3 linked regions of the Drosophila melanogaster genome follow. The protein of the gene in region 3 interacts with the protein of the main gene of each other region in a pairwise test. Each region holds a gene or a part of one and is shown on either strand. Other genes may lie near its edges.

Evidence for each region.
Region 1: the proteins of CheB93a (region 3) and CG5292 interact in a two-hybrid assay, tested with the Drosophila melanogaster proteins (one large-scale study listed by BioGRID).
Region 2: the proteins of CheB93a (region 3) and CG16904 interact in a two-hybrid assay, tested with the Drosophila melanogaster proteins (one large-scale study listed by BioGRID).

Annotation. Positions count from the first base shown.
Region 1 is NT_033777.3:17,150,002-17,154,429, reverse strand, and holds CG5292 (uncharacterized protein), read right to left. Parts: upstream 2,570-4,428; 5' UTR 2,457-2,569; coding exon 1,974-2,456; 3' UTR 1,936-1,973; intron 1,880-1,935; 3' UTR 911-1,879; downstream 1-910. Other genes in the region: Mur89F (mucin related 89F), read left to right, coding at 1-546, 623-910; Smug (Single-strand-selective monofunctional uracil-DNA glycosylase), read right to left, coding at 2,871-3,401, 3,463-3,774; Det (deterin), read right to left, coding at 4,060-4,191, 4,253-4,428.
Region 2 is NT_033777.3:9,815,281-9,818,653, forward strand, and holds CG16904 (uncharacterized protein), read right to left. Parts: upstream 1,700-3,373; 5' UTR 1,678-1,699; coding exon 1,462-1,677; intron 1,390-1,461; coding exon 817-1,389; 3' UTR 648-816; downstream 1-647. Other genes in the region: CG9459 (uncharacterized protein), read right to left, coding at 2,222-2,791, 2,859-3,086.
Region 3 is NT_033777.3:21,405,775-21,408,841, reverse strand, and holds CheB93a (chemosensory protein B 93a), read right to left. Parts: upstream 1,398-3,067; 5' UTR 1,391-1,397; coding exon 1,136-1,390; intron 1,077-1,135; coding exon 900-1,076; intron 830-899; coding exon 659-829; 3' UTR 518-658; downstream 1-517. Other genes in the region: CG7907 (uncharacterized protein), read right to left, coding at 2,325-2,864, 2,954-3,067.

The sequences.
Region 1 (4,428 bases), 4.3 Mb from region 3:
AGTACAACCAGCTCTGGAAAACCTGAAACCACCTCAAAGGCCCCTGAAAACACCACAACATGGGCTCCTGAAACCACCACTACATCGTCTCCTGAAACCACCACCACAGTAGCCTCCGAAACCACTACTACTACTTCTGGCACAACCACCACAGCCACTCCTGAAACCACTACAAAACCACCCAAGCCTGAAACCACTACCATAGCTGGGGAAGAAACATCAACGTCAAAATCGCCTACCACTACGGAGAGTCCTGCTCCCAGTACCAATACCTCTGCTCCTTGTCCCGAAACCGGACCAGGTCAGAACGTGTACGTCTGCCCCACTGGATTCCGCCGGCATCCGGAGAAGTGCGGCATGTTCTACCAGTGCAGCGAAAGTGCCGATAACAATGATCTTAACATCGTGGTATTCCAATGCCCCAACGGAACCGTCTACCAAGACAAGTCCTGCAGCTGTGGCAAGCCACCGGCAGGTGACAAGTGCTCCAAGGACATGAAGAGGACCACCAACGCGTTTGAAGAGGAAACGAAACTTCAGAATGTGGTAAGTCGTATAATTGTAAAGTCTAGTCTACATTCCATAATGAAATAATACAATTTAATTATTTTACCATCAACAGGTTCAAATCAGCACGACAGATCCGCTCTGCCCGGATGAGGGTCACTTCGCGCTCAACAACGACCAGTGCGGCCAGCTGTTCGTCAAGTGCGGATTCTCGGAGCTGACGGGTCGCATCGAAGGCCAGATCCACCGCTGTCCGCAGGGATTCGCCTACTGGAACGTTAGCCGACGATGCGAGCCCGCCCGCAAGCTGCCCAACTGCACGCCCACCACCTACAATGTGGGCGGAAACGTGCCGCTGGAGTGGCTCAACATTGGCCATAGACGCCGCAGCATGCGCATTTAATTAGATTTAGTCTAGATTCACTTAGTCGCCCGCCATTGTTCGTTTGCTGCGCCAGCACTTGATGGCCAGCTTGGCAGCTAGCTGATTGCGATCGAGGCAATAAGCTGGCGCAGCAAACGATCGAACCGAAGAGTTAGCTTAGGACGTAGGGAAATTACATTAGGTTAAGCACGGGTGCAGCCCTCCGACATTTATCTTACAAGTGGGAACTTAAAACAAGTTAGCCTATAATACAACCATATATTTCTATAATATATATTGCTTCGATTGTTGGAGGGTAAACTAGATTCTTGGTGTCGGACTGCTAGCGAGACTGCACTTTACGCATTTGAAAAGGAAACAAAAGGTTTTGAGTAGTCTTCCTATAGTGGAAACAGGCACAGCCTTCACTACACACACGTAAATGCTGTAGCTTTCATGCAGTAATTGTATTTATGCTTAGAGTTAAAACATACGTTCTGAACGCCATATACAATATATCTTAGACTATGCTTAAAGATTATAATAAATTGAATCATATACAGAAATCGTCGAAGAATGATGCAGTGGTACTTATTTTACTTTCGGATGTATGCCTCCAGGATGCAGATGACTGGAGCACTAATGTTTTCATTCTTTATGCGATTGTAGTTTTATGTATTCTAACTACTTTCATTTCTGATTGCGTTTTTGAAATTCGTTCTCTATTTCACGATGATTTCGACGGAATACTATTCCTTTTATAAGATAAATACGTTTCTTGGCTTGTTCCCTCTGAAATAATGAGTAAACTAGAGGTTTGCCTTCGGATTTTCGGTAATCTGCTCGTTTCCGGATTTTGGAAGGCTTGGAAGTAATTGAATTTTACGAAAACGTAGACTTTTGCATTCTACTATTTTTCTATAGTTTTATCATACTTTAAATATTACTTCAATGACTGTAATAGCTTCCTACTTCTTTGAGGATCAGTGGTTGACTCCATTCATGCTCCTGAAAAACCAATACTGTATCGTTCTCTCTAGCAAATTCTTTAGGTTTATAATTACCCCTTCTTCACGCACGCTTTTGGCCTCGACAATTGATCCTACTTTTTCTTCTTGGCCTGTGGCGGTGCCGCCGGATTGTCGCCCTTGTAGAAATCCTTTAGCAGAGCCATCGCCTCATCCGCCCGCACACCGCCCGTGATCTCGATCCTATGGCCAACGACGGCGGCCACATCCACGACCGTCTTTCCTCCGAAACGATCGTTCTCACAGCCGTAGATGATCTCCTTGACGCCCAGAGTGTGCAGGGCGGCGGAGCACATAATGCAGGGCTCCACGGTGACCACCACGGTGATCTCGCTGAACAGCTGGCGGGCCGGCAGACGTCTCTCGCGGCAGCTGGCGAGGATAGCGTCGATGCAAATGAATTCCGCGTGGCGAGTGGCGTTCCGGTGGACGTTCACCTCGTTCCCGCCACGTGCGACCACCTTGTCCCCATGAACGAACACACAGCCCACGGGCACCTCGCCGGCGTCACGTGCCCGCCTCGCCTCCACTAACGCTTCCTCCATGAAGGCGGCCATTTGGCATGGAAATAGACTCGGGCGAACTGGGTGAAAAGCCGCAAACAGATGAGATGAAATGACCAGGTCAACAAAAACAATGGGTAGCTCTCACTCAGGCGGCACTTTCCAGCACTGCGCAACAGCTGGCGGTCACGGTGAGCGGTCACTGTACGAGCGGTCACGGTGGGAAAGCGAAGTCACCTTTTGTATTTGGGGTATTCCCCGCAAATAAATAATATCTCAAAATAAAATAGAGAATTCTGTTTCAATAGAATACTGAAATTATTAATAATGTATTCTCTTTTGCCACTCACTTATAAATGTAGAGCTTTAAAGTTATAGTATGTGCAGTAATATCCTTATATATACATAGAATGTATTTGTACAGATACAGATATGTAAATACTATCTAAATAATTGACCATTTTTGCTTCAAGCCTCATTCCGCATGAATCGGATTAGGTTGTGCTCCTCCAAAAATGCTTGAGCCTTCTCGGGCCAATTGGTATTATTAGTAGAACGCGGACTAGGATGCGGCAGTCGGAGCACCGAAACGCAATTGGATTTGGCATATCCTGAACGCTTCAGTGCGCTGTGAACATACTCCCCAACGGCCACAATCACGTCGGGTTGGAGGAGCTTCAGTTGTTCCTCCAGGGTGTGCAGGCACAGGTCTCCTAGCTGATTTTTGTAAGCTCCTCTGATTTCACTGGGCGTTATGTTCCTGCCATCTGCGCCAAAGAAAGCTAGCGGACAGAAATTGTGGACGAAACACTGCTGGGAGAAGGTCTGCATGCTGCCAGCCAGTCGGAGGAACAGCTCCCACAAACGCACACCACTGGGCTCCTCAATCCGACAATCCAAGCCAGCGACTGGACGTTTGGGATGCACGACTGGAGGTTGGTCCACCGAACCAGCCAGCTGCATTAACAACTTTACTGTGCGCACATTGCCAAAGGGAATCTGAAGCAGAGCGCGTCAATGTATCAATATGTTCGGATAATCTACAAGATTAAGCTCTTACTCCGGTTTGGGCCATTCCATTGGGCCCTGGATTCATGCCAACAAATACCAGCTTCTTGGGACCGTCCATATAGCGACGTAAATAGTCGCAGTGCAGCTGGGATGCATATACTATCGGGTTGTAGATGAACGGTGTGCTCTCAGGAGGATTCAGTTTTTCCAGCGCCTCATTTAACTTGACTTCGGTTTCGTAGAATTTAAGCCACAGCGGCTTATCAAAGAATTCCGATGTACTGCCCTGCCTTGCGGATGTCTTAGTGGGCTCCCCAATCTCCAGATTGCATTTTTGCTGGTTCAGTTTGCGCTTCAGCATAACGTTTGCTTCAGCGGAACAGGACAACAAATCGCAGGATTTAAAAGCTGCATTGGATTTGGTTTTAATCAGCTGTTCCACATAGAAGACTCAGTATGACCATATACGACCTTGAAGTTTTTAAATTGAACACGAGACAGATTGGTTTAAAATAAGCAATTAAAAAAAAATCCTATTACAGTTTAATTTATAAATACATTCGATGGACTAACATTGCGTTTTATTAAAAATCTTGATAAATAGCGAGTTTTATATATGTATATTTAAGGTTTAAAAATTAGCGCTCTATTTTTGATTACGCGTAAACTCATCTAGACGCTTCTCATTCTCCCGAACGAAGCTCGATTTGAAGGCTTTGCAGGTTTTCTCTATGCTGCCTTTAACGACGGTTCCAAGAATTTCCAGAAATTGTGATACCTGCAAGAATTATACACAAGTTTAGGATGCCAGCTGGATTCGGGAGTCATGGGGAACATACGGTTAAATTCCTTTCGGGACACGATAGCTTGGCGAACTCGCATTGGGGTGCATGTTTCACGTGCTCCTTCCACGGATCATCTTCGGGCTCCCAGCCATCCAGGGTCTTTCCGCACACAAAACAAGTGGCAGTGTCGTTTTCCCGCTTGGTGCCCGTCCAATAGAATCCCGCCTCGG
Region 2 (3,373 bases), about 12 Mb from region 3:
TTTAATGTCATTTAAAACGGCAATTACTCAGCACGCTCGGTGGCTCGGCCAGTTGGAGGCCCCATTCCAGGGGCCAAGGAAGGACGAAGGACGAAGGACTAAGGACGAAGGACCCGAAAAGCTAGTGCCCAACCAGGAACCACTGCACTTGACTGCGGCTTCGCTTTAATGTTGCCGCATGGCCGCAATTATTCAGCTGGCACTTTGACTCTGATTCGCCGCATGCGATTCCTATGCAAATTCGGCCGGCCACGGGTGACCCTTCCGGTGCCATAAATCGCCGGTGCTGGGCCAGGCTCGTTCCTAATATTCTAATTAAATGCAGCATGGAATGTCCAGAGACGTGCTCGGTCCAAGTTCTGCGGAGCATGCAGATCACGTGCCAAGGGGAATCCCCTCGATTCGACGATGGAAACCACGAGTAGTCGAGATGTGGCCGATGGGATTTATTCCGGACGGAGTCTAACTCCTTGACCTTTTCGACTGCATTTGAATTAACTGTCGATGCATTTGAATTCATCTATTATTCAAACGGCGCATATGCAAATTGTCGAGTACACTCAGAGAAACCAATGATGTATCACTTTATAATTCAAATTTAATTTAAGAAGCCAATGTATTGTAAAAGTAATAATAAAATATTTGTTGATTACAAATACATTCTTATTAAATAATACAAAAAAAAAACAGGATCAAAGGTGGGAATTTTATAACAAAAATTGTATGAAAGTTGGAAAGACACTCTTCATTCCTATGCACCCCAATAGTTATGTACATACGAATTACCAGTTTTTGATCACAGTGTAGCAGGTGCATTCAGTTGACCTTGCCCTTGGACTTGACCTCTTTCGGCCGAATGTAGGTCTTTATGTAGAACTTGGTGAACATCAGAAACATGAAGGCGCTGGCCGAACTTATGACATAGATGACACCCCGCGACGCCGAGCAGTTTGGCTGGAAATAGGTGTACATGCAGTGCAGGAACATCAGGAGGAACTGCACCAGCTGGCCCAGGGTAAGGTACTTCTTCCACCAGAGGCTCTCCTGCACATTCTGGCTCTGCGACGAGGCGTAGTAGTAGCCGTACATGACGATGTGCACCAGAACATTGAACATGCAGATCAGGAAGACATGGCCACCAAAACCGTAGAATCGGATCAGCATGTGCGAGGTGAAGACCATGAAGACGTGATGGAACACATGGAGGAACGTGATCTGGCGCTGCTTCTTGCGCAGCACAAAGAATATGGTGTCCATCAGGTCGAGCACCTTGTTCAGATGGTACATGTACGACAGTGTCCTTTCCGTGGACTTTAGCTCATGATCCTGCGGCAGGACTTGCATGCAGCTCAGGTTGTACGGCTTCTGCACGAATAACAGATGGATGCCCTGGGTAATATGGAGCAATCCATTGAAAACGATTAAAAAACTGTGTATATCGATATCCTTCGACTTACGTACCCACACAAAAATCACCGAATTGAACAGGACTTGTCCGATGTTGTAGAACTTGAGCACACCTCGCAGCTGGAGTGCCTCATGCTTGTCCATCAGCTTCCTGCCCAGCTTGAGCACAAACAATAGATACACCGTGATGATGATCACCGAGGTGCGGATACTGCCCGCCAGCGGCAGCTGGACAGGATCGGCGAAGGGCTTATCGAACACCTCGAACATTTTCGCGCACGACTTAACGAGTGACTTGACTTTTACCTTCTGTGATTTCTTTCTTTCACGATAGCCACTATACTATTACCTATTTGCTAATTACATTAGTGCAAATTTCCGGTATGTTTAACCCACTATCAACCTTCAACTTGAATACTTAAAGCTTTGCAAATCGAACTAAATACAATATAAGTAACAGTTCAACTACGTTTTTATTTTCAACATTTTATTAATCAGCAGTGCCATTATTTACAAAATTACTCCTTTTGACATTATTGTCAATACAACAAAAAAAGTGTTCTACATTTATAAAATACTGGCGAGACCCAATTAAAGGGGTATTTTGCATATTTAATAGCATTAAGCAGTCGAGTGGATAGAGAGTTCTAGAAACCAACAAATATCTCCCATTGCTTTATGTAAAATATATATCTATGTATAATATACGATATATACAATGATATAAAACAAATGAATTTGTTGTATCAAAAGCATTTATTAATGACATTGATTAATGTAAGGAACAGTGATATTAAATCTTAATTAGTTTTGCTCATCGGCCCACCGCCGATTTCGTTTTCTTGGGAAGAATGTAGGTGCGAACGTAGAAGTTACTAAATAGAATTATAAATACTACAGATATCAGTGAGCCCCAAGTTGCCGATAATCGTGATGTTTGACAATCAGTTTGCCGGAGGATATAGACGCTGTGCGAGAATATAATAACAAATTGGACAAGCTGAACGACTGTGATGTATTTCTTCCACCAGAGATCGCCACCCGAGTTCCGATTGAGGGACGACTGGTAGTAGTAGGTGTACATCATGGTGTGCACCACCACGTTGAAGGTGATCAAGAAGAATCCATGGCCGCCGTATCCATAATAATACATGTACAAGAAGCCTATGTACACCATGTATACGTGGTGGAAAACGTGCAGGAACGATATCTGGCGATACTTCTTTCTGAATATAAAGAACACAGTCTCCAGCAGATCCATGAGCTTGTTGAAGAAGTAGGAGTAACTGAGCCAACGCTCCCAGTTCTTGTACTCATGATCCAACGGCAGATTGGATATGCAACTGAAGTTATAGTTGCCAGGACCAAGCATGAAGTGCACACTCTTTAAATTTGGAGATACATATAATGAATATTAATATATTTTTGTTAAAAAAAAGAGCATTACTTACAAATATTAACAAAATGACATTGTATGCGATTTGCACGATGTTGTAGATCTTGATAGCTCTATCCAGATTGTAGGGCTTTTGATTCTGCATAAACCAAGGACCCACTATTTTTATGAAGACTAGATAGATTCCAAGGATGGTCAACACCGGCCAGTGGCTGCTGGTCAACGGAAGACGCACAGGATCCGGTGGCGATCGATTCAGGAAGTCCAGCATATGGGCAAACATGTCGGATATCTAAGTGTTATCGACGTCGGTGGAATAGCGACTGATGTGGACTCCGGCCGAGAACCGAGAAATGGTAATCTGCTCGTTTTCGAGGCTGATTTAAGTGTGTGTTTCTATTATACAAATACCTACATACGTAAGTAAAACCTATTACGCCGACCATATAAGAGGGTATTGCGGTCACAAAGTAAGGAAAATAGGTTTCCATCGCTTGGAATGCCGGATATGTTGAACATCCACTGTCCCCTGGTTACGAAAGGTAAAATAATGGCATTCGTATTTAGTTT
Region 3 (3,067 bases):
TATCAGTACAATATTGACGGATTCATAATACGGCCAGATGGTCATGGCCAGATTGATTCGGGGAGTAATTACGACCAAGAACAAGTTCAATGTGTTGGAAACGCTCCCTTTACCTTTTACAACGAATGTAATATACCCTATTCTACTACTAGCAAGAGGAATATGGAGGTGGACAATACAAGAGGATATACCCGGTAGTCAGTTGATGACTGTGCGAGCGCAATGTGCAAGCAGTGCATCAACTGCTTCGACAAGCAGCGCATCAACTGCTTCGGCAAGCAGCAAGAGAACTGCTTTAGAGATAGCACTCGAGCTCCACCTAGTGGTGAGGCTATTATTTACCGATTTCTTTTAATTTCAATAAGGTATATGTAGGATAATATTAATAATACAACCTATTCTTGACGAAAAGTTTTCATCTTCAGAAAGATCAGAGCATTTTTAAAATGTACCTTTTCCGTAATTAGAACATTTGTCTAATCACATCACAAGAACAAAGGAATTAAGCATTTCTTTAATTTTTTGTTTATTAATAAATTAACAAAAGTAATTTGTTGTTGCAGAAAAATTAACCCTCCACCAAAACCTTTGTTGAGAAACAATAAAATCATAATCATTATTAGGTTTAAACGAATTCAGAGAAATAGGTCCATGACGATTAGGCATTTACAATGTCACCGACGATTTCCATGCAAATGTCCCTATCACGCTTAACTCCGGCTTTGTCAATGGCAGTAAATATAAGAACGGCCTTGTGCCGCCCCACATTCAGGGGAACTGCATAGCTGAATGATATTTTCAGGAGATAGGGCTCCCACAGCAAAATTGCCTAGAAAAAAGGAATTTAAATGTATGTAAATGGATTGAGTTATAGTGGATTAAGTGGTGTATATCTTTACTCCTGGAGTGGTAATGCATTTTTCCTTCGCTTCCTTCTTGTTAACCACGTGTTTTGTCGAATAGGAGTAATAAAGAGTGTTCTTGTCGTAAAAGGACTTGCAAAAGTCCTTAACATTCCCTTTAATTATTGTTGGTATCCACTTATCTCCTTCAAACTTCAGTATGCTAACATCAATCTGAAAATCAGTTAGTTGGGGAGGAAGTTTATTTATTTAAATGCATTAAAGCCTCTCACCTCGACGACATCCGATGGATCCACATCCCATATTGTTGTTATGTTTCCTGATATATTAACTCCACCAGGACCTCGTTTGCGACTGAAGTTGGATAAATCCACGAATGCATCCAAATAGCCCATTTCTGGCTTATCCTCGCACTTACTTAGTAAATCATCTTTAATGGGCACAAAATCGTGGCTCATTTCAAATGACCGACCAATAATTTGGAAGAAAATCAGCAACGTGCATAATACTGAAGTTTCGCACCCCATATTTCACTTTTTTAGTAATTTGATTTTGCGTCTCGCTTAACCTTAAATAGCACTCAAGCGACACACGTGAAATATATAAAAATGCCAATAATTATTATTTGACACGCGTATGATATGAATCTACAAGGAAGATATGGGTTTTTTTCATTAATCTGATCTTTAAATGTATAGTCACACTATATTAGCCATCATAATGTTTGCACGTTCCTAATTAATGATATATAATTATAATTGTACTTTCCATTCATTTCATCTATGTACATGTAAGCCGCTAGTGAAACGAACGATTCTGACTAGTAATAACATATTTTCAACAGTGGGGTTAGATAAACATCAAATGTATTTATCCATGGCAATACCTTCACATGTCACTGGTCATTTCATTTGAAAGGCGCGCCGTTTCGTACAGTATACCAGTATGCCATACAAAGAAAGTTTTTCATATTTTACATTTTTTTTACTGTCAATATCTTAAGCTATTTCTACACCGACATATTCGATTGTAGTCGATAATAAAGTATTCTGTGATATTATCGATACACATCCCTTCAAAATAGGCTGCGAAAATACTAAAAACATAGCAGAGATTAGCGCGCAATTCTTTTTCAAATTGCGATGTATTAAATTAAAAATTGCAGTCATACACTGTGGCGAAAAATACTAGCACCAATAAAAAAAAAGCGTTTCCTCTGAAAATTAATAAAAGCTAAAGACCTAACCACTAAAAGTATATAAATAAAAAGCACCACTGAAGTTTCTTTGATAGCAGTATTATTTCTCCCAAAGTAATAAAAAATTATTAAAATTGTATAGTGTTTTTTGTACACATTTTTTTTTTGGGAGTGTATATTGAGTTTGTCCGTTGAATAAGTAAATCACCAGTTGGTTGTCAAATTCGTAAATCGAGAGTCGGGAATGAAATCTTCAACAGAAGTTACATGACGCAAGCCACAAAAGCCGCAATGGTTTTTGAGATTTCAGGCCTGAGATCTGATGCATCCTCGGACATTTTAATCAACTTGTTATTGATCACCCTAAAGTCATCCGCATAGATAAAGAGCGTCTCCTCCAGTCTGCCCAGAACCCACTGGAACCAGTAATGCTCCTCTGTTCCCTCGTCTGCAAACGGAGCACCGCAAAGAGTCTTCACAAAACGCTGCACAATGGTGAACAGAATGCCTTTGACTACAGGATCGCATGCACTTGGATCATCGACATCCACGACTTCGATCTTTTGTTGGACACGCTTCAGGTGGCGGAGAGCGGAGTGGAGCAGCTCCCAAATGTATATCTTGGTGAGCTCCTTGCGCATCGATGGGCCGAAGATCCAACGCACAACGCTAATGGGCTCAATTATCAACCCCGTGACCAGCTTTTCGGTCACCACAAATTTGTACTGATCGCTGGCGACCCACACATCGAAGATTCCGTTCAAGACCGCGGCCTGCCTCTCTGGATCTCCTGCAACCAAATCCTAAAAACAAAATGGAAACGTAAATGATATAGAAATTGATGAAGAAGAGGGTATAGTAAATATAACTTAATACGAATCAACAAACTCACCTTGAAGACAGAGTGATATTTTCGAAGTATCCCGAAAGTGTGGCTAAATGATTTGGATCCCAGATGAAGACAGTTCTGGGTGAACACGTTGATCTTGAGCAGCGGACCGATTCC